Lonchura striata: one gene and its partners. The protein of the gene in region 4 interacts with the protein of the main gene of each other region in a pairwise test. Links are inferred from orthologs where the notes say so. Each region holds a gene or a part of one and is shown on either strand. Other genes may lie near its edges.

Region 1 (7,011 bases), on a different chromosome or scaffold from region 4:
CATGGGGTAAACACGGGAATTTCCCAGCAGCTTTGATGGAGCTTTGTTCATCAGGTAGAAATGAGGGGTTTGGTGGGAAAAAGGGTCTTGGGAATCTTCTTTTTGAGGGAGACAATGCTGAAAAGGTTGAGGCAGGGCTGTGCCTGCCTGCCCAGCCCCTGGGCAGTGTCCCTGTGGCATGGCCACGTTTTGGTGCCCAATCCTGATGTGTGAGAGCTGGAAGCACCGGTGCTGGAGAGCGCAGTGAGACAAAATTCCTGCTGCCCTGCTGGAAAAGCCCCTCTGGATCAGAGCCGGGTGGCCCAGCCTGGGCTGGCAGAGCCCTGGGACCGACAGGCTCCAGATGAGCCCAAAAGGAGCAGGGCCACGGTGCTGAGAGCTCAGGGGCAGCACAGGAAAGTCTCCCCAAGAAATCAGGACATTTTTCCCCATCAGCAGCAGAGGACAGGAGCTCCTGGAGCCCCAGGGTCAAAGGCAGCAGCCCCTTGAGATGTTGGAACCTCTGGGATCACAGATGCCACTCTCCATTTCCCTGTTGCAGCATCCCAGTGATGCCTTGTAAAATGATATTTTCCCTCTGGAAAAGCTGGAGAAGCTCTTGAGCAGATCCTGTGAGGGCAGGCGGGATGGACACTTGGCCCCAACGTTCCCCACGGGTGACATGGCAGAGGACACGGTGGCAGCACTGTGGCATTGCCCTGTGCCCAGCCCAGGTTTTTAGAGAGCAGGTGGCACCTGGATCATCTTGCTGTCATTTGTCACCTCCCCTGGGATGGTGGCCAACACTGCCCCTCCTCCAGCACTGTCTGTTCTGCAGCCCTGAGTGTGACACCCCACCCAGGTGCTGCTGAGCTGCCACTGTCCCCATCCCCAGTGACCTCCCGTGGTCACCAGAGATGTCACTGCCCCAGAGATGTCACTGCCCCAGAGATGTCACCCCCCCTGGTGACACAATTCCCCCAGAGACAGGACCCCACTGGAAATATGACTCCCCCCAAGATGTGACCACCAGTGCAAACCTGCCCTGGAACCCAAATCCTGTCCCTGTCATTATCCCCAGCATTTTCCTGCCTCCCCAAAAAGCTGCTGGCACAAAACTCCCTCCTCCCAACCCCTGTGGGGTGAACAGGGACCCCAAAAACCCTTCCAGGGACTGCCAGCCATGAGGGCAGGCAGGATGTTTGCATCTGCCCATCACCCTGAGGAGTCTGTGCTGCTGATTCAGTGAATAATTAACACCATAATTAGCACAATAATTAGCTCATCCCCCTCAAACCATCCGGGGGGGGCTTTATCCATACCCTGAGACTTTGCCCAACCCACCCCGCGAGGATAAATGGCACAAATAATCCGACTGGAGCATCTCTGAGGCCCGAGGATGAGGAGGCTGCCCCCAGCCGCGGCTCCTCGGCGCAGAGCTGAGACAAAGGCTGGGAACAAGGGGCTCATGTGATCGCATCGGGGGAGGAAGCGCCGGCAGTGCCACCAGCCCAGCTAAAACACAGCCTGTGCGTTCTCCTGGAGCCTTCAGGCAGCGCCGGCAGCTCACCGAGCTGGGGGTGCCGGGGGCAGGATGCTCCAGGTGTCCCACGCAAGGTGGGTGCCCCAATCCGGCCGTGGGCTGGGGCAAAGCTGCTGCCTGCGGTGCCACCCCTCCCTGGAGGGGTTCCCTGCGTTCCAGCTCACAATCTGCCGAGGAGCCTGAGGAGCACCCCCCAAAGCCAGGGTGGGCATCCAGAGGGGTGAGTGCTGAGCCTCGTGCCCGGCCTTGGTGTCACATCCCTGGCCTGGGGGTCCCCACTGGCCCTCAGGGTGCTCCAAGCCCTGCTGCCATTTCCCCACATTCCCACACCACCCCAGTGCCCACCTTTACCTGCCCATCCACCCGGCCACATCAGCTGGGAAAAAGCCCCGCTTTCCCTTCAGGAGCCACCGGGGGATGTTGGAGCTCCCTCCCCGAGCCTGGACAAAGCTGAGCCCAGCACCAGGCGAGCTCACCCCGTGGCCAAGGGCAGGATCCCCCCGCTCGGACAGCCCCAAAGCGGCTCCCAGAGGCGCGGCAGGATGGAGGGAGCACGGGCAGATCCCGGCAGGGGCAGCCCGGGATGTGAGGGGGTCCTGCTGAACCGAGGGCAGTGGCTCCCGTGGCCCCCTGTGCCTGTCAGCCCCACAGGTGACAATCCCAGGGTAGCCCCCCTGGCTACTGGTTTCTGGGGCTGGTAGCCCCCCACGGGCCATACACCCATGGCTGCAAGTCCAGGGGGTGGTGACAGCCACGGCCACCCAGCCCGTGGGCAGCGACCCCGTGGCTGGAGCCCCCGCGGGCAGCAGCCCCGGGGCTGCCGCAGGTCCCGGCTCCCTGCAGAGCCCCGGTACCCCGGGCCCCGCTCCGGTACCGCTGCTGGCCCCGGGGCAGCTCCAGCCCCGGTGCCGGTCCATCCCCCGGTACCGGTGCTGGTTCATCCCTGGTACCGATCCAGCCTCGGTGCCAGTACACCCCTGGCCCGTTACATCCCCCGGTACTAGTGCTCCCTTCCCGGTGCCAGCACCCCGCCGGTGCCGGGGTACCCCCGATACCGGTACACCCCTGATACCCGTACACCCTTGATGCCGGGTTACCCCCGATACCGGTACACCCCTGATACCGGTACACCCTTGATATCGGTACACCCCTGATACCGGTACATCCCCGATACCGGTACACCCCTGATACCGGTACATCCCCGGCGCCGGTACACCCCCGATACCGGTACACCCCCGGTTGCCGGTACACCCCCGCCGGTGCCGGTAAATCTCCGGCTGTCTGCGCACCCCCTGTGCCAATCCATTCCCGGTGCCGGTCCGTTCCCCGGTCCCGGTCCTGCCCCGGTGCCCGCCCGTCCCTCCCGGTCCCTCCCGGCCGTACCGGGGCTGCGGCGGGGCCGGCGCCGCCCGGGTCGCGCATCAGCGGCGGGGCGGCCGCGGGGCCATTTTCTGTGCGGAGCTGTCGCGAGAGCGGGGGGAGGAGGAGGAGGATGCCGGGGGGAGGAAGGAACGTGCGGAAGGGCGGGCGGGGGCCTGGGGGGGGGACCGGCCCCGCCCCGCCCCGTTCCCCCCCTCTCCCGGCTGCTTTTCCCGGGAGATTCTCCGCACCCGCATCCCGGCGTCTGCGGGCAGCTCGAGCATCCCGGGGTTTTGGAGCATCCCGGGGTTATGGAGCATCCTGAGGGCTTTGGAGCATCCTGCGGGTTTTGGAGAATCTCGGGGGTTTTGGAGCATCCCGGGGTTTTGGAGCATCCCGGGGCTTTTGGAGAAATCGAGGGTTTTGGTTTATCCCAGGGTTTTGGAGCATCCTGGGGGTTTTAGAGAATCCCGGAGAGGGAAAGGCATTCAGGAGCATCCCAGGGTTTTGGAGTATCCCAGGGTTTTGGAGGATCCTGGGGGCTTTCCAGGATCCCAGGGTTTTGGAGCATCCCAGTGGTTTTGGGGCATCCTGGGGGTTTTGGAGAATTTCAGGGGTTTTGGAGCATCCAAGGGTTTTTGAACATCCCAGGGTTTTGTGGGATACAGGGCTTTGGAGCATCCCAGGGTTTTGCAGGATCCCAGGGCTTTGGAGCATCCCAGGGGTTTTGGAGCATCCCAGGATTTTGGAGCATCCCAGGGCTTTAGAGCATCCCAGGGTTTTGGAGCATCCCAGGATTTTGGAGCATCCCAGGGTTTTGGAGCATCCAAGGAATCTGCCAAGTACCCCAGGGACTTTGGAACATTCCAGGGCTCATGGAGCATCCTGAGGCTTCCAGAGTTCTTGGGGGGCTTTGGAGCATCTCAGACTCCTCAGGGCATCCTGGGGCTTTGCAGTGTCCAGGGAGCTCTGGAGCATCCGGGGCTGCTCTGAGGGAACAGAGCCCTGTGGGAGGTGCTGGACCCTTGGAGCATCCCGGGGCCCTCTGAGCACCCCGAGCTCCTGGGAACACCCCGGACTCCTGGGAACACCCCAAGCTCCTGGGGACACCCTGGATTTTTGGGAGCACCCAGGTCTCCTGGGAACACCCTGGGCTCCTGGGAGCACCCCAGATTTTTGGGACCACCCCTCCAGCTCATGTGTGCCCCAAGGAACAGCCCAGGATGCTCCAGGATCCTCACAGCAACAAAAGCCCCTGAGAGACCCCAAATCCCTGGGAGCCCCTGGAGCCCTCGGGAGCAGCCCAGGGAGTGCCTGAGCTGGCCCAGTTCCCGTGTCCCTGCCAGGACCCAACACCCCAATCCCCATCCCCCTGCCACCCACCCACCCCCATTCCCATCCCCATCCCCCTGCCAAGACCCACTGCCCCCATCCCCATCCCCCTGCCAGGACCCACCGCCCCCATCCCCATCCCCCTGCCAGGACCCACCCACCCCCATTCCCATCCCCATCCCCCTGCCAAGACCCACTGTCCCCATCCCATCCCCCTGCCAGGACCCACCGCCCCCATTCCCATCCCCATCCCCCTGCCAGGACCCACCGCCCCCATCCCCATCCCCAGCCCCCAGGAAGGGCTGGAAGGTGCAGGATTTCCTCAATCCTCAGTTCCCAAAGCCAATATTTTTCATTAAAATCAAATCAGACACCTCCCTCTTGCACTCTGCAGTGCAAGTATTCCTAAAAAAGCTGTGATTTACAAGAAAAATCACCCCGAGGAGTGCAGGGGCTGAAAAACCCCCTCATGGTGGGAGGGGGAACCCACAATTTCCAGCGTGGGGCTGTGAGGAGCTGGGAATTCCACGGGAAAATTCCCATCCCAGTGGGGTTGTGCCCTCTGTCAATCCCACCCTGGAGGACACAGGATGCGCAGAACACCGCTGGACCCCAAATCTGAGGTGGGGAGGAAGGTCTGTGTGACATGGGAACAGCTCCAGAGCGGGCTGGGAGGGAGAGAGGAAGAGGAGGACTGGGCTGTGAGGTCAGGGAGGAAGAACAGGGCTGGCTGTGGGATCAGGGAGGAAAAGGAGGGCTGGGCTGTGGGCTCAGGCTCTGTGGGATTATGCTCTGTAGGATCAGGAAGAGGAGGGATGGGCTCTGTAGGATCAGAGAGGAAGAGGAGGGCCGGGCTGTGGGCTCGGGTTCTGTGGGCGCACAGAGGAAGAGGAGGGCTGGGATGTGGGATCAGGGAGGAAGAGAAGGGCTGGGCTCTGGGCTGAGGCTCTGTGGGGTCAGGCTCTGTGGGCTCAGGCTCTGTGGGCTCAGGCTCTGTGGGCTCGGGCTCTGTGGGATCGGGCTCTGTAGGGTCAGGCTCTGTGGGCTCAGGCTCTGTGGGCTCAGGCTCTGTGGGATCAGGCTCTGTGGGCTCAGGCTCTGTGGGCTCAGGCTCTGTGGGATCAGGCTCTGTGGGCTCAGGCTCTGTAGGGTCAGGCTCTGTAGGATCAGGCTCTGTAGGTTCAGGCTCTGTGGGATCAGGCTCTGAGGGCTCAGGCTCTGTGGATCAGGCTCTGTAGGATCAGGCTCTGTAGGGTCAGGCTCTGTAGGATCAGGCTCTGCGGGCTCGGGCTCTGTGGGATCAGGCTCTGTGGATCAGGCTCTGTAGGTTCAGGCTCTGTGGGATCAGGCTCTGAGGGCTCAGGCTCTGTGGATCAGGCTCTGTAGGGTCAGGCTCTGTAGGGTCAGGCTCTGTGGGCTCAGGCTCTGTGGGGTCAGGCTCTGTAGGGTCAGGCTCTGTGGGCTCAGGCTCTGTGGGGTCAGGCTCTGTAGGGTCAGGCTCTGTAGGGTCAGACTCTGTGGGATCAGGCTCTGTAGGGTCAGGCTCTGCGGGATCAGGCTCTGTAGGATCAGGCTCTGTAGGGTCAGGCTCTGTAGGATCAGGCTCTGCGGGCTCAGGCTCTGTGGGCTCAGGCTCTGTGGGCTCGGGCTCTGTGGGATCAGGCTCTGTAGGGTCAGGCTCTGTGGGATCAGGCTCTGTAGGGTCAGGCTCTGTAGGGTCAGGCTCTGTGGGCTCAGGCTCTGTGGGCTCGGGCTCTGTGGGATCAGGCTCTGTAGGGTCAGGCTCTGTGGGATCAGGCTCTGTAGGGTCAGGCTCTGTGGGATCAGACTCTGTGGGGTCAGGCTCTGCGGGCTCAGGCTCTGTAGGATCAGGCTCTGTGGATCAGGCTCTGTGGGATCAGGCTCTGTAGGGTCGGGCTCTGTGGGCTCGGGCTCTGTAGGGTCAGGCTCTGTGGGATCAGGCTCTGTAGGATCAGGCTCTGTGGATCAGGCTCTGTGGGGTCAGGCTCTGTGGGCTCGGGCTCTGTGGGGTCAGGCTCTGTGGGATCAGGCTCTGTGGGATCAGACTCTGTGGGATCAGGCTCTGTGGGCTCAGGCTCTGTAGGATCAGGCTCTGTAGGGTCAGGCTCTGTAGGGTCAGGCTCTGTGGATCAGGCTCTGTGGGCTCGGGCTCTGCGGGCTCACGGAGGAAGAGGCGGGCCGGGCTCAGGGCTCGCACTCTGTGCGCTCACGCTCCCGTCACTTCCTCCGGCGCAGGGCCGGGCTCGGGGCGGGCGGGGCCGGGCTCGGGGCGGGCAGGGCCGGGCTCGGGGCGGGCATTCCCGGCCCGTCCATTCCCGGCCCGTCCCTCCCTCTGCCGCTGAAATCCTCCCGGGGCGGCCCGGGCAGGGCTCGGCCCCCACCCGTCACCCCATCCCACACCCCACACCCCTCACCTCACACCCCACACCACATTCCGCACCTTCACTCCACACACCCCACACCCCATCCGACCCCACACACCCCACACCCCACACACACACCCTACACCCCACATCACACCCTGCACACCCTTCATCACACACCCCTCATCCCACACCCCACATCCCGCACCTCATCCCACATCCCACACACCCCACATCCCCCACATCCCCCACATCCTGCACCCCCAGCCCCACACCCCACATCCGACATCCCGCACCCCTCACCCCATCCCGCATCCCACACCCATCACCCCTCACCTCACACCCCACACCCACATCCCGCACCCTTCACTCTACACACCCCACACCCCACACACTCTGCACCCCACACCCCCC
Region 2 (7,738 bases), on a different chromosome or scaffold from region 4:
CCTCTCCCCCAAGTACAGAAGAGGTACTTTTATCTGTAAGGATGGAGAACTGAGATCATTTATTGCCAAGCTAAAAATTCTGTGTGCACATAGAGAGGAACTGATTAAACTGCCCCAGACCTATGAAAATTTCTGCTGGGGCGATGAAAAATAACCTGAATTCTCCTGAAGAGAATGGGAAGTGCTCTGAGTTCTGGCTCATTAAAACATCCCCCACCATACCTATAAGCTGCAATTTCGATGTCCAGGGCCATTTTCACATTGAGCAGGTCCTGATATTCCTTCAAGTACCGAGCCATCTCACTCTTTGTGGTTCTCAGCTCATTCTCCAATTTGTTGATTGTATCCTGTTGGATGGAACAACATTGACAGCATAAAATTCTGTTCTCAAGCCTAGCAATAATCACAGGGAATTTCTCCAATCCTTTTAATTTAATCTTGCTCTAGCAGGCAGAAACTGCACAGCTCCCACTCTCAGCCAAACAGCATCATTTAACACCTTCTTGGTAGGTTTTCTACCCCACATTATTCCAGTTCTATTTAACACAAAAAGCCAAATTTTCTGGTACCCAAGTGCTAAAGCACAGTGAAATCTGTATTTTGTTTCATTTTGATTTTGACCTTTATGTACTTTTTTTAAATTTTAGCTTAGGGATATCCATTGTTAATTCTTGCGGGTCCCTTCCAACTCGGGATATTCTGGGATTCCATGATTTTCTGGTATAGTTCTGGCTGCATCAGTACATGGACACATGGATATTGAGCTTTATCAGGGGCATTTTGCATTCTGATTTTATAACAGCTCACACTTTAGATAAGCAGTACCAGAACTAATGTCTGGGATGATTTTGATAATTCAGATCCCGATTTGGGTCTGTATTTCCACACCACATCCTCCTTTATAGCTCTGTGGCATTCTGCACTGGGATTTCAGGATGCCTTATCTGCAGAGATGCCCCCGACAACGCCCCCAAACCCGATCCCCTCATCTGTGAGGCTCTGCAGCCACGACTCCCCTCACCAGCAAACCCTGACCCCCCTCACCTGCAAAACCCTTCAAACCCCGACATCTCCTCACCTGCAGATCCCTCCAAAGCCCAACATTCATCCCTTCACCTGCAGAGCCCAGCAAACCCTGACCCCCCTCACCTGCGGAATTCTTCAAACCCCAACATCCACCCCTTCACCGCCAGAATCCTTCACACCCCAATGTCCATTCCTTCATCTGCGGAGCCCAGAAAACCTTGGAACCCCTCACCTGCAGAACCCAGAAAACCTTGAAACCCCTCACCTGCAGAACCCAGAAAACCTTGGAACCCCTCACCTGCAGAACCCTGTAAAACCTGAGCCCTGTCCCATGCAGAGCCCTGCAAACCCCATCACCCCCTCCCCTGCAGAGCCTTTCAAACCCCATCACCCTCGCATCTTCAGAACCCTTCAAACCCCATCATCCCCTCACCTGCAGAGTCCTGCAAACCCCATCGTCCTTGCATCTTCAGAACCCTTCAAACCCCAACTTCTCCTGACCTGCAGAGCCTTTCAAACTCCATCATCCCCTCGCTTGCAGAGCCCTCCAAACCTCATCACCCTCGCACCTTCAGAACCTTTCAAACCCCATCATCCCCTTGCCTGCAGAGCCTTTCAAACCCCATTATCCCCTCACCTGCAGAGCCTTCCAAACCACATCATCCCCTCACCTTCAGAACCTTTCAAACCCCATCATCCCCTCACCTGCAGAGCCTTCCAAACCCCATCATCCCCTCACCTGCAGAGCCTTCCAAACCCCATCACCCTCACAACCTTTCAAACCCCAGCTTCTCCTGACCTGCCGAGCCCTGCACACCCCCTCATCCCCTCCCCTGATGGACCCCGACCCTCGTCCCCTGAGGGACCATCCCAGCCCACGCCCCCTCACCTGCAGCGCGGAGATATCCGCGCTCTGCTTCTCCTCCAGCTCCTGCAGCTGCTTCTCCAGCGCCTCGTTCATGCCGCGGGTGGCCTCGATCTCCAGCGTCTTGGCTTTGAGCAGGCGGCGGCTCTCGGACACCTCGTCCTTGGCGGCTCGCACGGCGTCCGTGTTCTTGGCGGCGCTCTCGCTGAGCACGGTGAAGCGGCTGCGGAACCACTCCTCGGCGTTCTGCATGTTGCGCGCCGCCAGCTTCTCGTACTGCGCGCGGATGTCGCGCAGCGCGGCCGACAGGTCGGGCTTGGCCGACACGTCCATCTCCACGGACAGGTGAGCGTACTGGATCTGCGCCTGCAGCTCGGCCAGCTCCTCCTCGTGCACCTTCTTGAGGAAGGCCAGCTCGTCCAGCAGGCTGTCCACCCGCTTCTCCAGCTCCGCCCGCGCCAGCGCCGCCTCGTCCGCGCCCTTGCGCACCTCCAGCAGCCGCGCCTCCGCATCCTCGCGGCTCAGCACCTCCTCCTCGTAGCGCGCCTGCAGCCCGCGCAGCGTCTCCTCCAGGCTCTCCCGCTCGCCCTGCAGCGCCTGCTTCTCGCTCGTCGCCTCCTCCGCGGCCAAGCGCAGCTCGCGGATCTCCTGCTCGTAGAGGGCGCGGAAGCGGGAGGGCTCGGCGTGCTTCTGCCGCAGCACCAGCAGCTCGGCCTCCAGCACCTTGTTCTGCTGCTCCAGCTCGTGGACGCGCTCGATGAAGCAGGCGAAGCGGTCGTTGAGGTCCTGCAGCTGCGCTCGCTCCTGGCTGCGGATGGACTTGAGGTCGTTGCTGATGGCGGCCACCTGGCTCAGGTCCAGGCTGTCCACCGAGTGCAGCAGCGAGCCCGAGGCGCTGGAGGCGGCGTAGCTGCGGCGCACGGACACGGAGGACACGGGCGCGGACAGGCTGGAGTACGCGGAGCGCGCCGAGCCGAAGCCGCCGCCGCTGCGCACCGACACATGGATGCGCGGGCTGTCCGCGTAGCGCCGCTTGTAGGACGGGAAGAACGGGTCGTAGCCGTACGAGCTCATGGCTGCGGGGGCTCCGGAGACGGCTCTGCGGCGGGCACCGCCCGCACCTCGATATTTATGCGCGGGGAGGGCGGGCGGTGCGGCCGCCGGGCGGGGACGGGGCGGAGCGCGGAGACACCGCGGCGGGGAGGCGACGCCCGGAGCGGTCCAGGCACCGCCGCCGGGAGGGGATGCCCGGAGTGATGCAGGCATTCATTCCCTCACTGCTCTGATGGCCTCAGCGGCACGGGCAGGACCTCGCCCCAGTGATGCCCGGGCAGCTCCGGGCATCGCGGCAGGGAAGGGATGCCCGGACAGCTCTGGCCATCACGGCAGGGAAGGGATGCCCGGACAGCTCCGGGCATCGCGGCAGGGAAGGGATGCCCATGCAGCTCCGGGCATCGCGGCAGGGAAGGGATGCCCGGACAGCTCTGGCTATCACGGCAGGGAAGGGATGCCCGGACAGCTCCGAGCATCCCCGCGGGCGCGGGGAGCTGGGACCGGCCTACTCCGGAGCAGCCTGGGCTCGGCCCCACCTCATCCTCTCAGCCCTGTCTCAGCCCTCCTTGGGCACAGCCTGGGCCCTCCCGGGGCATCTCCCGGCCCCCCTTCGGGGCCCTTTCAGATCCAGCTCCCCTCAGGTCTATCTGCACCCTGCAGCCTGCCAAGGCTGTGTTTAACACCCCGGCTCTGCTTCTCCACAGCTGCCCTGGCAGAAGCTTCGGGAATGTGCTGCAAGCTCCAGCACATTCATTGTGGCTGAGGTTGCCTCGGTGAGGCTGAGGGACACCCAACCCTGGCTGCAACTCAGAACCTCCAGATGTGTAAATAGTATATTTTTTTTCCCCTTCAGTTTGCAGTTAGCACAAGCATGAGTGCTCTTTGAGCCCCTGCATCTTCCCCATGTCCATTGTTACAAGTGGTCCCTAATAACCAGGGATTATAGCATCATGGAATCGTGGAGTTCTTTGGGGTGGGAGGCACCTTAAAGCCCATCCAGTCCCACCCTGCCATGGGCAGGAACCCTCCCACTGTCCCAGGCTGCTCCCAGCCCCATCCAACCTGGCCTTGGGCACTTCAGGGGAAACCCAGCAGAGTTATTTGTCCTTTCATTGCATGAAAGCAGCAGCAGAAACAGGGCAGTTCTCAGTCCTGGCTGATACCTGGTTCCTTGAGGTGCCCTGGAGCCGAGTCTGTCTGAGACATGGATCACAAGGACAGGATATTTATCCTTGTCTAATCTGGCTAATACAGAGATTAAATTGGACAGCTGCATTGCAGCTACCTCTGGGCCAGGCTATTACCACTGCTTGATTAAAGCAAAGCAGTATTTATGTAGTAAGGATTGATCAGAGGGAAATTAGAGATGTATTGAGCACAGGCTGCATGGGAGGCTCAAAAAGAGAATGAGAATTCACCTCTTGCAGTCAGAAGGGCAAATATATCACAAAACAGCCTCTTCAAGGGTTTCTCAAGGAAGGAATAAAAGTCAGTAAAGATTGGGGGACATTTATTAGATACCACAAAAATGCTGAGGTGCTTCCCAAAGAAAAGGGAAGGACTTAGTAATGTGTATGAATTAATGTGCCTGTCAGTAATTGCAGTGGTAATTGGCTATTTCTGGCACAAAGAAATGTTTATTTAATACCAGCCTTTAGGAAAGATAGAGCAGGGTGGATTTAGTGTATTTCCTGCTATTTTCCAGAGACCTCACACAGAGCGTCACCTGTTGTGTGACAGCTTCTCCATAAGTTTCAGGGTATTTAAACACAAGGATCATTGATCTGTGAAGGGCAACGGCCCCTCAGAGGTACAGAGCTGCAGTCCCTGCTCATCAGAGCTCATTCTGCATGGAATGAACTGTACCAAGAGCTCATCAAGGCTTAAGTGCCACTTCTATCCCAGCAGAGCTGGTGGGAGACTTCATTCTGCAAATCTGCAGAGTCCTCCTGGCAATAATGCAGCTGCTCTCAGCAGCCAGCCCTGCAAGCCCGGCTTCTTTCTGCCTCGATTTTTATTCAACATTTGTTTTTTAAATTCGAGTTGTGGCTGCATTCATGCATGTCAGAGCAGCCATTCATTATTCAGAATATGCAAAGGAGAGCAGCATAGGTAGAGTCTTCTGTGTTAATCTATTTTATCTTTAGCAGAGATTGGGTTTGAAAGGGGAAGAAATGAGGAATAGAGACACTGCAGAGAGGAAGATTCCCAGCTTGTTGGTCAGGATCTCAGGGAGCTGATATCTTCTGGAATACTCAGCCCCTGCAAACTGAAATACCTTGTTTCATGCCAATGAATTTATGCTAATCTGCCCTACAGCAACCTGAGCACAAGATTTAATTATTAATGCTATCATTTCTTATGCCATGTATTAATAAAGGAATGTACCTCAGCTTGTAAAAACCACTGTGCTTCAGATCCCAGCAAAGCAAGCCTTGTAATTGTGTAATTGTAGGCTGTTAATATCCCTTCTTGCATTTTTTTTGGAGTGGAAAATCCTTTGCTGTGTTCCAGGAGCATGGGGAGGAAGATGGGTGTCAGCAGACAGCCCTGCAGTGTGGAACCTCCGTGGGACTCAGGGTGGGGATGGAGCTTTGGCACTCCAAGGAGCAGAAATCCACTCCTGAAGGCATCCTGCTCTCCAACCTTGTATTTCCAGGCACAGGGGAGTGCTGCCAGATTCCACCACTCCCTTTGTGTCCTTTTTGTTGCTTTCTGCCTTAATGCAGAGCATGAGCAAGCCCCTGGATGTGTGTTAGAAAAATCAATATTGTGAGCAGAGGAAGGGCATAAAGCAGGCCAGGATGGAGTGGCCTGTGCCACTTGTCTCATCTGAGACACCAGGAGCCACAGCAGGAGCTGGGTTTAAGCCAGCCCTGACTTTAACCCCCACTTAAGGCCCCCGGATGATCTCAGTTGAGCTGAGCTTTGTTGTGCCCTAAAAAGCTGCTCTGGGAACCAATCTGAGCAGCAGCTCAGCACTGTCCCCCTTTGCCTCTGGAGGTGAAGCTGCTCCCTCACCACTTGTGAGTCTCCCCAGGTCATCAACCCTTCAGGCAGAGAATCCCAAACCCAGCTTCACCTCTTGAAAACATTCCCTGGGTGTCCCAAATAATGCAGATTATTCTGAGGGATGATGCAGAAATGACAAAGCAGCTGTGCCCCATCCCTGGAAGTATCCAAGGCCAGGCTGGAGCAGCTTGGGACAGTCCCTGTCCCTTGGGAGCTGTCCCTGCCCATGGCAGGGGTGGCACTGGGTGAATTTTGAGGTCCCTCCCAACCCAAACCATTCCATGATTTCAAATCCCACTGCTGCCCGAGGAAAAGCAGCAACTCCGTGGCAAAATATTTCTGTTCATTCCTTTTCCTCTGCTGCATCCATAAATAACACATCCCCACCTGCAAGTGGCATTTCCTCAAGGAAAAGCTCAGACCTGAGCCCTGTGCTGAGCGCCAGGAAATTACCTGAATGTCCCCAGTGAACTCTGTGGGGATTTGCCTTTTTATCCCTTTTTAATCAAAGAATTTCATGTTAGAAACTGCAACAGGGACATTTCAGTCTTCATTGTCTGCTGCTGCTTTTATTGCAGAAGCACAGAAGGAGCTGTGCCTGCTTACTTGGGATTTACACAGAAATCAAGCAGTCCTGAGTAAAAAAACAAAAGCAAAAACATTGGTTTTCCTTTAAAAAAAAAATATTTCTACCTCATAAAAGCCCAGCTCTGAGGGAGTGGGGAATCAGACACTCCCACATCTAAAAATGTTCAATAGCTCTGATGTCAGGTCTTATGTATTTATCTAAAATTATATCAAAGTGTCTGCATGAGTTGAATTAAAAAGGCAAAAGAAAATGCTCTGATCTATTTTGATGAAATGAAACAAAATCTCACATTTTAGGAATTCCTTTTCCTGTATTCCAAGTAGTCCTTTTAATATGAGGCAACACTCACAGGAATTTCCAACCCAAAGCAGAATTTTGTCTGCAAGGACTGAACTACAGCCTCTGGGAGACTCAGAAGAAATGCAAATAAGTGTTTAATTTATCTCCTTTGAACCAGTCTTTGCTTTGTTGGTGCCAGATATAGCAAGTGCCTGGGCAGCTTGCATTATTTTATTATTATTTACACCAATTTCTGCACACAGTAGCAGCAAATTGCTCACTTTGAGTTTGTTCTCTCTCTTGATTACAGGAGCTGGAGTAAGCAAGCAGCCAGTTCTTTCATCTGAGTTCTATCAGGGAACGCTTAATTAGAAGATTCATTAATTAGCTTTGTTTACTTGTTGGATCAGGCCTCCAAACTAGACCACAACATCTGATGGCAGATCCCAGGGCTGGTTCTTATCTCACACAATCAATTAAATTGATGTTCTGCTTTTGGTTCCAGCAATTAAACATCAGCTGAGAGGGGTTTTGGCCAGATCCTGGAGTGGTTTGGGTGCAAGGGACCTTAAAAAACATTTTTATTCCATGTCCTGCCATGGGCCCCTTCCTGCAGGCCGAGCTGCTCCAGCCTGGCCTTGGGCACGTCCAGGGATGGGGCAGCTTCTCCAGACAAATAAAACTCCTGAAAATAAACCCCTCCCAGCCCATTTGGAAGGAGACAATTTATTAATTTGCAGTCTCGTTGCTTTAATTGCATTTCTGCCCGTGTGAGGAGCAAGGGTTGGACCCAAGGGCACAGCAGGAGCTGGGTTCAAGCCAGCCCTGACTTTAGCCCCCACTTAAGGCCACCGGATGATCTCAGTTGAGCTGAGCTTTGTTGTGCCCTAAAAAGCTGCTCTGGGAACCAGCTC
Region 3 (7,706 bases), on a different chromosome or scaffold from region 4:
CCTTTTTAACATGAAATTTACATAGAGGAAGTAGATAAAATCATGCCACTAGTTTGAAAATCCTGAAAACAATTATGGGGAAACAAGAGAAAAATATTAAATTCAGCATATTAAACAACATAAATATTTTTTTTTATTGATAGACCATTCAAATAAAAAACACTCCAGATACTTGGTTACATATGCAACACGTTACAGGTAATAGAACTATAGTGTAAGATTTTTAAAACACTGGCACAAATTTTAAAAGAGTTAACTAACAATGTCAGTCATGATTTTTTAGTACAAATTCAAAAAAATCTCTGATCTGAATGAATGCATGACAGGCTCCAACATTTTCATATATGAGATACAACACTGTCTCATTAAAAACAAACCACAATATAAACCAAGCAAAGCAGTTTCTCATGAAAAGGAACCTTTTCCTACAAATAACTGTAACTACATGTGCAAGACAAGTAACATCAGTTTTAAAATCCTGCTTTTCTCTTTTGTTTTAATCAGTCTTCATTTCATTTTTATTTACATTAAGAACTCTCCTACACATGCTCTTCATTAAAAACAAAACCCCTCAAGAAAAAATCTGACACCCCTCCCTCAAGCCAGCCCCACAGAAACTAAGAATACAAAAATATGCCTTTGAGGAATATTCTTTAAAATTCCATAAAAGCATCATACAAATCATATGTAGAACTCTCCCATGATCTCCCTTACAGTTGAAACCTCAAAAGTTCTCTTTATTCCAGAATCTTCCTATGGCTTCATCGCTCAGTTGAACAATGAGTTACTGAAGCTGCACTGGCTGTACAGCCAGGCTTGAGTGGAATCCAGAAGCCTCCTCCAGCTCATGCCCTTCCTGCAGCAAGAAACTCAAGACTAAACACAAATTTCTGTCCCTCTGGGACCACATCCCTACTGCTGGTCATATGACCAAACTGCAACAGAAGAACAGAAGAACCTGCTCAACAATCACAGGCTTCCTCACTGGAGTAACATGAAACTGATAGAAAAAGAGAGAGATACTAAAATACCACTGGAATTAGTTGTATTACATGCTTACATACTAATTTCACTAAAAGGACCTTTCTGTATTTGTACAGCATTATCTGAAAGTAATAAACCTTAATTCTCATGTGTAAAAGTCATACACATGAAGTGCCAAATGCAAAAAAGAGATCCTACAGTATTTAACTGACATGAACTTCCATTGTTTTGTGCAGAGAACACTGCTTCTTTACCATAAGCTGAAATCCTCTCATTGAAACCTCTCCTGACATAAAATGCTGCCCTGCTTTCAATGTTTTTGATCACTTTTATCTTACCAAGGAAAGGACAAACTTTGCAGATTGGGACTCCTGAAGCCCCATACTTAAATCCTACTTTCTGCAACTGCTATTTGTCTCTAAAAAGGCCACAACGCTGGTTGTTTTATTAAATTTTCTTAATAAATACCATGTCCCTCGTGTGTTTCTATCAAAACAACTGGAGTATGCAGACTCAGGAACATGCAGTGCTTCTAAATATTCTGACAGCACTTGATGGGGGAAAAAATACCCCTTAAGAAAAAGAATAATTCAGTTAGATTTTCCCTAAAATAATAACAGAATAAAAATGTTTGGCTTTCCAACTTAAAACATGTTGATGTGCAACTTTTTAACTGTGTTACTAACTTGCCAGGGAGCAGGTATGTTTCACGTGAGAGACTGTCAACTCACCCTTCCCCAGAAGGCAGAGAAAGTACAAGTTACCATCTCACCTTGTAACTCTGAATGTATTATGCTTTGTCACTTCAATTTCACAAGCTTTGCTATTAAACTAGAAAGCAATTCAGTAATAAAAAGTTAATTCATACTGTGATAGACAAGGCCACGTAAGAAGAGTGCATCTGTTAAACTGTTTTCAAAGCCAGACTGAAGGTCACTGAAGCAGAGGCCATCACAGCTGAAATCCAACACTCGCCCTCTGAACAGCAGCTACTTAACACCACAACACTCGCCAAATTTTGCAACCCAAACCTACTCAGAAAGAGCACTCCCCAGTTTTTATGGATCTCAGAACAGCAATTTTTTAAAGGACAGCACACGGCTATCTTACTTGACTTCTTAAATAAATTCGACATAACAAAACAAAGTAACAGAACTAGTATTAACACAATAAAGTTGAAGAGACATTGGCAAAGTGCAAGAAAAAATCCAATTATACTTTGAACAGCATTAAAACAGAAATAGGTCATATTTGGGAACCTGGATAAAACACAGCAGTTCACAGCAGCATTTTCCTCCAAAACAGGAAATACTGCTCGGCACACAGAAGTACATTATATGAACTGCGATTTCTCTAGCGGTTCTCCCAGTCCGTGCTCATTACACAAGCCCAGCCAAGCCAGGCTCGGTGACGAGATGGCTCTGAGCGCACAGGGACAGCCCCGCCTGCCGCTGCTTCTCCTCGTACTCATTTCTCAGCCTTGCGAGCTCTCTCTCAGGAAAGAGAAGTAGCTGCAGCCTACACTTCCCCACACCCGGGGGCTGTTTCTGCAGTCCCCAGAACACGGTTCCCGTGCCAAAGAAGACACCGAGGCTCAGCCCTGACTGTCCTTTCCCTGGAGGGCTGGAAGGGACGGCAACGTCCAGCTGGGACGGGCCACAGGCACCGTCGCGCGAGGGGCCTGGCTTTCGCCCAAGGCAGAGGGCAAGCCACTGCCGGAGGTGAGAGACGCCAGGGAAGGAGAGCGCGGCCCGGCCCGGCCCGACACAGGCCGAGCGCACCCCGGGGCTCCGGGGGCTGCCCCGCGGGGCGGGAGGCCCGGGCACCGCCCCAGCGGATCCTCAGAGAGAGCTCGCGCGCCTCCCCCGTCTCGGCGGCCCGGAAGGCCACAACCGACGGCGCTGTACCCAAGGCGGGCAGGCAGCGGGATCCGCCCGCTCCTCCCTCACTCGCTCCCTCCCTCCCTCGCTCACCCGCTCGTGGAAGATCGACTCCATGTTTACTGTGGCAGCCGCAGCCCCCGCCCCACGTGACCCGCCCGGCCAATCGCAGCGCCCATCGCCCCCCGGCCGCGCAGGGCAGGCCCCGCCGGCTGCGCCCGGCCCGCCCGCCGCTCTGGCGCCCCCTGCCGGAGAGGAGGCCGGCGGGCTAAACCGTCGCTGGCCGCGAGCGCCCCCGCGCGGCAGCAGCGCCCGCGGGGAGCGACACCCGCCGCCGGCTCGCTCCTCTGCCGGCTGGCCCCGCACCGGCCCGGGACCGCTTCTATCCGCACCGGCCCGGGACCGCTTCTATCCGCACCGGCCCGGTACCGCTTCTATCCGCACCGGCCCGGTACCGCTTCTATCCGCACCGGCCCGGGACCGCTTCTATCCGCACCGGCCCCGCGCCGCTTCTATCCGCACCGGCCCCGCGCCGCTTCTATCCGCACCGGCCCGGTACCGCTTCTATCCGCACCGGCCCGGTACCGCTTCTATCCGCACCGCCCGGTACCGCTTCTATCCGCACCGGCCGGGTACCGCTTCTATCCGCACCGGCCCGGTACCGCTTCTATCCGCACCGGCCCCGCGCCGCTTCTATCCGCACCTGCCCGGTACCGCTTCTATCCGCACCGGCCCGGTACCGCTTCTATCCGCACCGGCCCCGCGCCGCTTCTATCCGCACCGGCCCCGCGCCGCTTCCCCCGCACCGAGCGGAGCGGCGCCCGGCACCGCTCCTGCCTTGTGCTCACCAGCTGCGCACTCCTTAGACCCTCCTGGTCCGCTCACAAAGCCTCAATAACTGCTTAACCACTATTCCAAACAAGCCTACAGAGACAATCCAGAAAGCAACTTAAGCAGGTTCAGTACCTGTCAAACACATTCTGGATTTATGGAAGTATTTCTTTGAAGGCTAGTTCATGAAATAGCTATAAACACACGGATTCCACACCATACACAGCAATACCAACATAAATGATTTTTGCATAGTTTATTCTATAATTCTTCCTCTCCTTTCCAGAGTAAGGAAGAAAATTCTCTCAATGCTTGTGGACTAATGGAACTCCTGAACATATATGAGTCATGTAATTAAATCATCTTCAAAAAGTAACACCAGATATTAAACTAGCACTGATGAACTGCAGATGTCCTTTACTGTAGTATCCTCTCAGGGTAAAAATCATATTCCTGTTCTTTCAATATGTAAGACGATGAATCAAACAAAAATGTCTTCCTTTTCATCATCAGCTTTTATTTCCAAGTTACTTCTTCACCAGGCTTCAATTCCCTGTGTAGAAAAAAACCCAAAAAACAAGAGGGAAGAGACTAAAATTAGTATCATTATTTTTAGAATAATTATTAATATTTGTGTTAGTTTACATTCAACCATACCTTCAATTTGAGATTTATGTAAAAATTTAATTTTCCTTGCAATTGCTGTCAGTTAAAAATCTTTCCATACTGATAAACTTCCTCCTTTCTTTCAAAAGCTTCAATGGATTGAGTCCTCTGAATTTCCATTCATTTAAATGGAAGCACAGAACAGCTGACTTCTAAGTAGTTAACAGACTTTTAACTGGATCCAAAATGAAAAATTCTACTTTTTTAAAATGTAACAATTCATTACTTTAGTGGAAAGAGAAATGTGAAAGAAGAAGGGATTTTTACAAGACACCGACATAGCAGCCCAACTTCACTAACAAATACATTAAGAAAAGTGCTAATGTATCAGGGGAGTGGATTATGTCAAAAGCTTTCTTTCTTATTCAAAATGAATTTAGGTGAGGCCAGAGGAGGAAAGACAAATCCACTAGAAAACTGATAGCTACTATCAGTTTCTGCAACATGACTTTTTTCTCTCCTCTTTTGTTAACCTCAAGACCTAATACAGAATTAGAACTGACACAGGTGAGTCAATGCCTGAAGTTCTCTGATGTAAATACTCCCTGAGGAACCAGAGCCAGAAAACCCAAACTCATCAGTGTATATAATCACATAATTCAGTGAAGACATAGCAGGTTGTATGTTAATTTTCAAGGACTTGGTAATTACTTTTAAGTAACACACATTTATAAAAAGAATTTTGTCAAAAAGCACTGTGATAATTTTAAATTTAAGAAAGAAAATAAAAACTCAAGCACTGTGTTTTCTGCTGAAGTTACAGAGAGTTAAAATAATGGTTTCCATATTTCATGACCACGAACTTGACAGCAGTTAATGATTCTTTCTTTCATGAAGATGATAGCTTCTAAAGATTCCGTTTTCAGAGGGTATTACTGACCTAAAACACTTCATGAATGCTTGATATTTTTAGGCCTTTCTTCCCTTTTTTTGGTTACAATCATGACTAAAAAAGAACTGAGAAGCACTTTGAATAATAACTATATACGTATACAAGAGGCATCATAAAGCAGACCTTTTATATAATAAGCTCTTGTTTCTGAAGGCAGACAATCTTTCATCATTCCATCTGTCCAAATAGCATCCAATCACAAATCCTAAGGGAACAAGGATGTGAACCCAGTGTTCACGCACAGCTTGGGCGAAATTCACCATGACTGCTAGAAAGAAAAGTGTAGGAGGTAAGAGGTACTAATACTTGTGCACTTGGAAACTGGTGCATGCTTGGCACCTTTACTCTCACTTATTAGGATTCCACAATTACATAATATACATGAAGGCTATCAAACACTTCCTGGGAGAAACATGCTGCTCTCAAACCCATACCCGGCCTTCTTAGAAATAATCCTAAATGTTAACCCTGGGAAAAAGGATTTCATCCTAAAACAGGAGAGAAATAAAACATCTCTTTAATTTACTCTTTAAAGCAATTCTATAGAAGTTTGCTACTCTGTAAAGCATTAGAAACACTTTCATAACCTAAACTTCTGTAGAAGGAGACTTCATTATCTGCGTCAAGTCTCAGAGACTGACAGATAAGAAAGGACTTTTCTAAAATCACAGAATGACAGAATCATTACAGTTGGAATGGACCTTTGGAGATCATCCAGTCCAACCTCTCTGTCAACACATCCTGGTGGTTTCTCAATGTCTCCAGATAGGGAGACTTCACGGCCTCTCTGGAAAGCTGTTCCAGTGCTCTGTAACCCTCAAATTGAAGAAGTTCTTCCTCGTCTTGAGGCAGAACTTCTTGTGTTTTAGCAATGGCTATTGCTCCTTGTCCCATTGCTGGGCACCAACGAAAAGAGTTTGGCACCCGTCTTTGAGATATTTACACCCATTAGTGAGATCCCCTCGCAGACCTCTCCAAACTATAGGGGCCCAGCAAACCTTCCCAACCCAACCAAAGCCTTCCAGATTAGGGAATTACACGGGATGGCAGTGAGGTCTGTCACACAGCCGCGGGCTCGGACCCCGGCCGGCTCCCGGGGGCGAACTCCGCCGCCGTTCGCGCCGCGGCCGCTGTGGGGCGGCCAGGCAGGCGGACAGGCAGGCGGACAGGCGGGCACCCCTGCGGAACCCCCGCCCCGGGCCCGGCCGCTGACTCGCGGCACGGCCCCACCACCTCCCGGCTCAGCCGCCTCCGGCCTGCCCGGGACCCGACCGCCGTAAAGCCCCACGGCTGAGGGGCGCTCGCTCCCGCCCGCCCGCCGCCGCCGTGTCCCGGCCGAGGCGCTCCCGGCAGGCCCGACAGCGGTCCCGCCCCGCGCCACCCCGCCATTACCGCCGCTCGCGCCGCAGCGGGACCGCAGCGGCCGCGCCAAGGGCACCGGGAACGGGCGGGCCGGGCCAGACCACGCGCTGCGCGGGGCCGGGGGAGGAGCGCGCTCCCCCCGGCAGGCTCGCGGTGGTGCCGCCCGCTACCCTTCCGCCCGCTGCCCCGCCTCCCCGCCCCCGCAAGATGGCGGCGAGCGCGGCGCGGGCTGGGGGTGGTTGAGGGCGGCAGGTACCGGCTTCTTCGCATCATCATCCTCCTCTTCCCCTTGTTCTCCTCGTCTCGGACTGGAGTGCGCGCACCGCTCGCCCCCGTGTCCCCGTCCCCGCCCGGCGAGAGGCCAGGCCCGGGCGCCAGGCCCGGTGGGGCGCTGGAGCCCCGGAGCCCCCGCGGGGCGCCCGGCCCGCGCTGTGCCCATGGTCGGGCAGGCCTGGGTTGGAGGGTCGCGGCCCTGGATGTGCCATCTCTGGGTGCCCCCATCCAGCTCCGTGGAGCTGCTGTTAACCGCGCTGCTCTTAGGGATCCTTTTTAAAATTATTCTTGATATTTATTGTAGAAAATTAACCCCACCTCTTTCTAATACCTGCAAGAGTAGAATGTTAATGTCTGCGACTTTAGCAGCTGTATTGAACAGTATTAACACCGTTAGCCTGCATATTTTCAGGAATATGTGAAGCTAGATCTAAATAACATCTAAGTGAAACATTTTGTCCCCCATTCAGATTAGTTCTTTTGGAGATTAAACACTTGGAGAGGAAAATGACATCGATTATCAAGTTGACTACGCTCTCGGGGGTGCAGGAGGAATCTGCCCTCTGCTATCTTTTGCAAGTAGATGAGTTTCGTTTTCTTTTGGACTGTGGCTGGGATGAAAACTTTTCTATGGATATTATTGATTCTCTGAGGAAGTAAGTAGTTCAGTTCATACACCTGTTAAATTAGGGCTTGGTCTATCTTAAAAGTTTTCAAAATTCCACGCAGTGGTATAGTGTTGCTAAATGCAAAATTGTTCTTTTGTTTTGTTTTGTGTATATTTTACATGAAGGGTATCACACTGCTGAAACATTTCC
Region 4 (7,595 bases):
ATCCATAGGCACATGGTGACATCCCTTATTTTGTTCCCAAGAGCTGAAGAGCTGTTGGGCTTCCCTATCTTCCTGATGACTTTGGACCCCATTATGCCAGCATCAGAACAGCCAGTAAGGATTCCATATACCTGGTGGCTGTATTTTTTGCCCATCTCAAAAGTTCTGATGAGTTTAGACTGGGTGGTTTGTGTTTCTTGCCTGAATTCCCTCACTCCTTCCTGCATTTTCTTTTCTCGAGGACCAGCTTCTTGATGGAACCCTTCTCCCTCCTCCCCTAATAACTGGTGATACAGACCCATTGTCCACTGGGTTTTTTCCACAACTGGGGCAAGCATCGTTGATCCTGTTTGGGCCCCTATCTCTACTATCACCTCAGATGGAGTTTGTCCCCAGTCTCAATCAAGTTACTCTCAGAGGTGGCTGGGGTTCCCGAGTTAAACACAGCCCTCTGGCATCCCTGAACTGTGGCTTTGCAGGCACATGCCAAGCCCCAGTACAGTGCCAGAACCTGCTGGTTTTCACTGGGGTAGGCACCTTTGGCATGTCAGTTTCCCAGGGTTACTTGCTTGTTCAGGTGGAGTCCCAGGCTATGGGAGGTGATAACTAGCCCAGGCACTTGCCCAAATCCTGCCACCCACGGACCAGCCACCTCAGGGCACATTTCAGTATTGACTCACCCAAAAAATTGTCTTCTCTTACATTAGGATGACATCAGAATACACAGACCCCATGATATGTCAACTGTGTTAATTACTAGTATTAAACATCTCATGTAAGGCTGAGCAGGAACAATAAAGCCACCCACACCAGGTGGGAGTGGGAAATGGGATCCTCTCCACAAGGCAGCTCCCCCAGCAGAGCAAGGCCATCTGTGCCAGGGCAAAGCACAGAGCCATGGTTTGTACTAACATGTTCCCAAAGCCCAGCAAAGTAAAGAGATAAGAAATGCAGCCAACAAACACCGTGACTCAACAGGAGCTGCCTACTTAGTAACTACTATGGCTAAAGCACACTTAGCACAGAACAGCCATTGCCTCAGGCCCCACACTGGGCACTAAACTGTGGTGGGCTGACCCTGCCTGGACACCAGCTACCCACCAAGCTGCTCTCTCACATCCCTGCTCAGTGGGAGCGGGGCAGGGAGAAAGTAAGATGGGAACGGAATTTGTGGGCCAAGATAAAGACAGTTTAATAAAGCAAAAGCAAGGCTGCATGTGGGAGCAAAGAAAAACTAAATATTTATTCTCTACTTTCAACCAGCAGGAGATGTCCGGCTACCTCCTGGGAAGCACAGCTTCAGTACACAGAGCAGCTGCTCCAGAAGACAGATGTTTGAATAAGGAATGCCCCCCATGTCCTTTCTCTTAGCTATTGCTGCTCAGCAGATGCCATATCGTTTGGAATATCCCAAGATCTTGCCCCCACCCCAGCCTGCTGGTGAGGTGGGAATGTCAGAGACAGCCTTGATGCTGTGGGAACAAAAGCCAAAACACTGGTGTTTTATCAACACCTTCCTAGCTACCAATACAAAACACAGCTCTATGAGGGCTGCTAGGGGTAAAGTTACCGTCAGACACAATCTCAGTCAGACCCAAAACAACTGTTTATTTAAAAAAAAAAAAAAAAAAAAAAACCAGAAACTTTTAACAAAACCACACCGAACAGTGAGGATCCGAAAAGCAAGGCAGCACTGGGGGCATCACAAAGAGAAATGTTCTGCAGGCCCTGACCAACCCAAGGGCTAGATGTGCAGACAAGCACCTCCAAGCGCGTAAGACCTTGTCCACTTCTCTCTCATTCAGACAGTGATACTGTTTATTAAGCAGGTAAGGTTGTAAATTAGAAACCTGAATCTCTTGTGCATCCTCACTGGGTGCCCAGGCACCTGGAGGGCTCCAATGGTGGCAAGCTTTTAAAAAAAGTTCAGTTTGAAAGCAACCACAGTGGCAGCTGCAGCTTGGAGGAAGCCACCTGCTTAAGTGCAACACGAAGAGTATGTCATAGCATAAGATGTGTGTGACATGCTACATTTCTTCTTGCCCAAAATCCTACAGAGCTGTCCATTTTTCCCTTGTTGCCCTGTATCAGCACAGAACATCCCCTCTAGCTCAGAAAGAAGGGAGAATGAACACATGTATATCTGCAGTCTAAGGAGAGTCACCTTTTGCAGGAACTTGGATTTCACTCCATACCCTGAACCCAAATGTGAGAACAGGGCTAGCTCTGGAAGGACAGAGTCCTCTGTGAGCTAGGAATCATGAAGCAATTAATAGATTGCAGGCTGGTGATTTGCCTTCTGCATCTGAATGATCTTGCCAAAGCCACCTCTTCCCACATCGTAGTCTGTCCGGTATTCATCTCGCACCTGGGGCACAGCAACAACACATGTATTAATAGCCAGCACTGCCTGTCCCCTACTAGACTTCAGAATCATCATCCCCTCCTTGTTCAGTTGGTGGGGAACTGAAGTTCAGATTAGAAGCACTTCAACTCGTCTGAGATCTCTTCAACTAATCCACCAGAAACGTGGTAATGGTGGTGAAAATGACCAAAAGGATGTATCTGATTGTTGAGAATTTTTCAGGTAAGAAGCAAAGAAGACCCCAAAGTATTTTTGTTCAGCTTTTCCATACACCCTTTTGAACTGCCAGATTTGGCCTTCAGAACATTTTATCTCATCTAAACCTCATCCTTGCCCTTGGGGAAACTGCTGTTATTGAGATTGGCCTGGCAGCCACACTGCTTCCCTCTACTCAAATTCTGGATCATTTCAAAAGTACTAGCTTGGTTTAGGGAACATTCTGCTTGCATTGCAGGACTTTTGGAGTCCTAGACAGAAGTGGCCTTAAGTTCTATTTCCAGCCTTTAACACCAGGTGTCAATTACCAAAACAACCTGGGAGTGAGTAAACTTCATTATCAGGTCTTTACAGCCTGCACATTGTTCTCCCTAGGACAAAATCAGCAAGTAAGTACACGGAGTCTTAGAGGATCAAATTCAGGGATGAACTGGCATTGCCTTTACCTGTCCTCCAGTCTTTCCTCTCCCATACTGTCGCCCCTCCTTAAACCCTGCATCCCAGTCCGTGCGGATGATGCGGTCGTCCAGCCGTGTGCCGTTGATAAACCTCATGGCATGCTCAGCATCTGCTCTCGTGTAGTATCTGAGGCACTCTGTAAGAACAACTAAGTGTGCTTTGTTGGGTACAGGGAAAAAAAACAGGGAAAGTATTGTATTTGAGAAGCAGAACTCCCCCCCTACTGCCTTCCAGCCTTTTCTACTCTTCCTGCTCTTCTCTATGAGATCAAAAACTGCACTCATGTAAATCTAAGCTAAGACCAGCTAAGGCTCAGAAAGGATTCTGTACTTTAATGTTAGTACCTGCACAGACAAGACAACGAAACAAGACATTAAAGCCTTGCTAAGGGCAAGAAATCAGTAATATGCCTTTTTGTACTATGTAAAGCTTGACTGAAATAGAACAAAAGGAGCAGGCTTCACAGGAGAGCTCTGCATAGACAGCTCCTGGCACAACCTGTATAAGCATGTACCCTTTGCTTGAAAACGCCCCCATGGCTTATCCAGCTACTTCCTTCAGGTGTAAAGTTGAGATAAGAAAGTAAACGTGCTCTGGACATGGAAGACATCAGACTGATGAATGTAACAGCTCTCATTCTGGCCATAAAACCATTAAACGAATGAATTAAAGGGGCTCTCTGCCGCCTCCAGAAACTACAGCTCTGGTGGCACTTGTCACGTATGGCACCACTACACAATCGGTCTCAGGGCACAGTGAGGAAGGGGCAAGGATGGACGGGATGTGCCTGGTAGGAAGCACTTGGCTATCACCTTTCCAGCAGCAGTACAGATACACTTGCAGTGCAGAGGAACTACAGGCGCCAACCACATCCCTACTGACAAAAGGGAACCAGAAAGGATACTCTACAAAGCAGAAGCCACAGGGGGTTTTCTTGATCTTGTCCAGACCCATGACAATTCTCTTGACATCTCCGCACTTGGAGAACAGCTCCTGGATCTGCTCCTCGGTGGTGTAGAAGGAGAGATTACCGACATACAGCGTGGAGGAAATCTTCAGGGATTTCTCCTGCAGCTGCCTGCTACCCTGCGGGCACAGAGGCGCACGCCGCGGGCTCAGCGCGCTCGCCGTCCCGCTCCTACCGCCCCGTGCCCTCCCGCTGCCCGGCTTCTCGCACGGCCTTGCCCCGGCCTCAGCCCTCCCCGCCCCGGCCGGGCCGGGCCGGGTCCCGCCACCCGCGGCGCCGGGCGCACCCGGAAGTGCTGGTCCCGGTACTGGCTGATCTCGCAGTACGAGTCGCTGTTGAGCCCGCTGAGCGTGGTGTGCAGCAGCCCCGACATGGCGCCCGCCGGCCCCACCGCCGGGATCCTTCCAGAACCGCCGCGCGCCGGACGCGGGGAGCGGCGCGCGAGAAACGCCGCTCCCGCCCCGCGCGATTGGCCGCGCCGGCTGTCACTCAGGCGGGGGCGGGGCGGAGCCGCCGGACAGCCAATCGGCAGCTCGGGGGCCCGCCTGGAGCGCTGGGCTGGGGCGCGCAGGCGCAGTGCGGGGCGCAGCGCTCCCGCTGAGGGGCCATGGCGGGGCCGCGGGCGGCGGCCGCGGAAGGTGCTGTGGGCCCTGGGCTCTCCCCGATAAGCGCCGCCCCTGGCGGCTGACGTTGGGCTGCGTGTCATGCCCCGCTGTCCTCCTGTCTTACAGCGCTGGTGCAGGAGCTGCTGAGGGAAGAGGCGCCGTCCCGCATTGCTGCCCTCGCGGAGGAGCTGTTCCAGGCGGCGGAGAGCATCTCTGAAGGGGATGGGAAGGTGGCGGAGGGAGAGTCCCCCGCTCCCAGCCCGTCTGAAGAAACGGGGCGTGCATGTGCTTCGCACCCCACAGCCCTGGCCCAGGTTGGTGCTGCAGCTCCCTAAACACCAGCTGCTGCTGCTGCTTCCCATCCTTGGCGGTGAGGCTAAAAGTGTAACACTACTGAAACGTAAAGAAAAGAGTTCACTTCTTCGTCATTTGCCCCAATAGCGTAAAAGTCCAAAATAAAGTGGGAAATGTTATTTTTAAAAGTCAATGTGAAATGATCTTGAATGTAAAAATATGTGTGTCAGTAACTCTGCTCTCATGAGACCCCACCTGGATACTGTGTTCAGGTCTGGGGTCACCAGCATCAGAAGGATGTGGACCTGCTGGAGGAAGTCATGAAGGTGACTGAAGGGCTGGAGCACCTCTCCTGGGAAAGGCAGATCGAGTTCAGCCAGAAGAGAAGGCTCTGGGGAGAACTTACAGCACCTTTAGTGCCTAAAGGGGTTCCAAGAGAGCTGGAGGAGGACTTTGGCCAAGGGCTTGAAGTAATAGGAAAAGGGGAAATGGCTTTACATTGAAAGTAGGTTGACTTAGATTAGATATTAGTAATATACTGTGAGGGTGGGGAGGCCCTGGCAACAGGTTGCCCAGAGCAGCTGTGGCTGCCCCATCCCTGGAAGTGTCCAAGGCTAGGTTGGACAGGGCTTGGAGCAACCTGGTCTGGTGAAAGGTATTGGAACTGGCTTGTCTTTAAGGTCACTTCCAACCCATCCATTCTATGATAATAATGGGAAAAAATACTGGTTACTTGTGCTGTTAAGGTATATATTATTTCAAACTACTAGTAGTATCTAGTTGTAATTTCAAGGAAAAATGGAAGCAGAGAGCACTGATGCATTAAGCATTTGGTACTGGATCAGAGGAGAGGCCCTTCTCACCTTGTCTGTGGATTCCCATAGTGACAGCAGATAACCCAAGGAAGAAGAAAACAAGCAAGCATGTAATTTTAACTGCCTGGTAAACAATATTCCAGTACACAATATTATATTTGAGGTACTAATTTTCAGTCCTTGCTAAAGTTTATCAGATGGTTGTTCATAATGTTTGCTTTTTCCTTCTGTTTATTTCTCCTAGAGGAGTACTTAGAAAGAAGTAAACATTACTTTTAAAACTCTTTTTTCAAAGAGAAATCTGGTAATATATGAATCTGAAATAAGGAAGAAGACCAGCTGAGATATAGTCCAGCTTCTTCCTCTAAAATTATATTTTCAAGAGACATTTAATAAGTAGCAATTATCAGCTAAGGAACACTGGTTTTGGAAGTCCTAAATTTGCAACAAGGAGCAAAATAAGTTAGCAGGTGTAGCAGAAAGTGTCAATAGTACAGTTTGTAAAGAAATACAAGAGCATAAAAGTGCTATCCTTAAGTTCTTCCTGAGTCAATTGGGGTAAATTATTTTTGAAGAAAGGAGAAATCATTCATTTGTAATCTGGCCACTTCAATAAGAGGGGCTATGAACTCTCTCCTAGATAGGCAAGATCTCTCATGAAAAGTAGAATAAAGTGATGGAAAATGCAGCCCCTCAGGTGGGTTGCTAAAGCAGATTATTGCTTTTATGTAGTGTTGTATCTTTTGAACAAGAGTATATACTCAGTAACCTTTGTTCTTTGTTTGCTAATATCCAAAGTTTCCCAGTGTAGGTATTTAAAGTAATTAAGCTACTTAGTGTTCTTTTTGATGTGCAAAAGAGGTGAAGCCTTACTACAGGTCGTTCTCAAATGTGATAAGAATTCTTAGAGTTCTTTTCCAACCCCTTCAGATTTTAGGTGAAGAAATGCTGCATCCATTCAGCATGCCTGTTTTCAGGTCACTGTCCAGCATGTCCTGTGGGATCCTGTGACAGTTTTATGGAAAGCTCACACCTTTCACTCTGGTGTAAACGGAAGTTGACAAACACTTGGAGAGGCCATTCCTGTGAAACACATGAAAGATGCTTATTTTTCAGTAGTAAATTTCAATTGGATCCATATCCGGGACAAAATTTAATTGAGTGGAATTCTCCCCTTCAGGTTGAAGAGAGTGCAGTCAGCTTGTGGAACTGGACTGTGACCAAACACACAGCTGCTGTTATCAGTGATGAGCAAAGAGCCAAACGTATGTATGTTCTGTACCTTCCTAAAGGTGTTCTATGTGCTGTAGCATGGAAACTAAACACTCTCTGCTGCCAGGCACATAAGTAGTGCTGTAGATTTGTTTGAGCCTTTGTAGACATGGTCTAGAAAGACAAAAATGTACTGGTGGGCTTGTATAAACAGTTCAAGAAGAAGCATCCTAATGCAATACTTATCTTCTTGTGACACAGAATCAGTGTAGGCATTTTTATCACTCTCCTTTCCATGCCAGAGCACCAGTAAGGAGGTGATGAGACCAAAGGAAGCTGTAATTTGCCTTCTGAGACTGTGGTTCAAATCTAAAAATGTATGGAAATAACACAGATAAATTTTAGACCGTTGGTCACTTAATTTATATCAAGTGAGATAGTTACATTAAAAAAACAATCTCATCCACGTTTACATACAGAAACATTCTAAGTCCTCTTTTTATTGACCTGCTTTAGCCAGGTGCACAGCTGGTAGGTTCTCTTGGGCCAGGGGCAGGGCTGGGGGAAAGCAGAAATGAGCTTTTGGGATTTTGCCTTAGTGTGTTCTTTCTGTGGTTTTGTGGGATTGCAGTGTCAAGCCTACATTCTTGTCCTGAGGGATT

The links.
Region 1: the proteins of TEX11 (region 4) and ZNF414 interact in binary tests that used the Homo sapiens proteins (3 or more experiments, as listed by UniProt). The two-hybrid records come from large-scale screens. The link is inferred for Lonchura striata from reciprocal best matches to the Homo sapiens genes TEX11 and ZNF414.
Region 2: the proteins of TEX11 (region 4) and NEFL interact in a two-hybrid assay, tested with the Homo sapiens proteins (2 studies listed by BioGRID and IntAct). The two-hybrid records come from large-scale screens. The link is inferred for Lonchura striata from reciprocal best matches to the Homo sapiens genes TEX11 and NEFL.
Region 3: the proteins of TEX11 (region 4) and ATXN3 interact in binary tests that used the Homo sapiens proteins (3 or more experiments, as listed by UniProt). The link is inferred for Lonchura striata from reciprocal best matches to the Homo sapiens genes TEX11 and ATXN3.

Annotation. Positions count from the first base shown.
Region 1 is NC_134630.1:3,385,572-3,392,582, reverse strand, and holds the start of ZNF414 (zinc finger protein 414), read right to left. Parts: upstream 3,016-7,011; 5' UTR 2,906-3,015; intron 1-2,905. UniProt on the Homo sapiens protein: May be involved in transcriptional regulation.
Region 2 is NC_134634.1:2,824,513-2,832,250, reverse strand, and holds the start of NEFL (neurofilament light polypeptide), read right to left. Parts: upstream 3,002-7,738; 5' UTR 2,966-3,001; coding exon 1,916-2,965; intron 348-1,915; coding exon 223-347; intron 1-222. UniProt on the Homo sapiens protein: Neurofilaments usually contain three intermediate filament proteins: NEFL, NEFM, and NEFH which are involved in the maintenance of neuronal caliber.
Region 3 is NC_134608.1:16,336,770-16,344,475, reverse strand, and holds the start of ATXN3 (ataxin-3), read right to left. Parts: upstream 3,009-7,706; 5' UTR 2,982-3,008; coding exon 2,958-2,981; intron 1-2,957. Other genes in the region: NDUFB1 (NADH dehydrogenase [ubiquinone] 1 beta subcomplex subunit 1), read right to left, coding at 4,212-4,248, 5,377-5,516; CPSF2 (cleavage and polyadenylation specificity factor subunit 2), read left to right, coding at 7,396-7,544. UniProt on the Homo sapiens protein: Deubiquitinating enzyme involved in protein homeostasis maintenance, transcription, cytoskeleton regulation, myogenesis and degradation of misfolded chaperone substrates.
Region 4 is NC_134616.1:19,168,205-19,175,799, forward strand, and holds the start of TEX11 (testis-expressed protein 11), read left to right. Parts: upstream 1-4,589; 5' UTR 4,590-4,614; coding exon 4,615-4,645; intron 4,646-4,738; coding exon 4,739-4,926; intron 4,927-6,901; coding exon 6,902-6,986; intron 6,987-7,595. Other genes in the region: nuclear cap-binding protein subunit 2, read right to left, coding at 2,270-2,368, 3,028-3,166, 3,945-4,126, 4,294-4,380. UniProt on the Homo sapiens protein: Regulator of crossing-over during meiosis. Involved in initiation and/or maintenance of chromosome synapsis and formation of crossovers.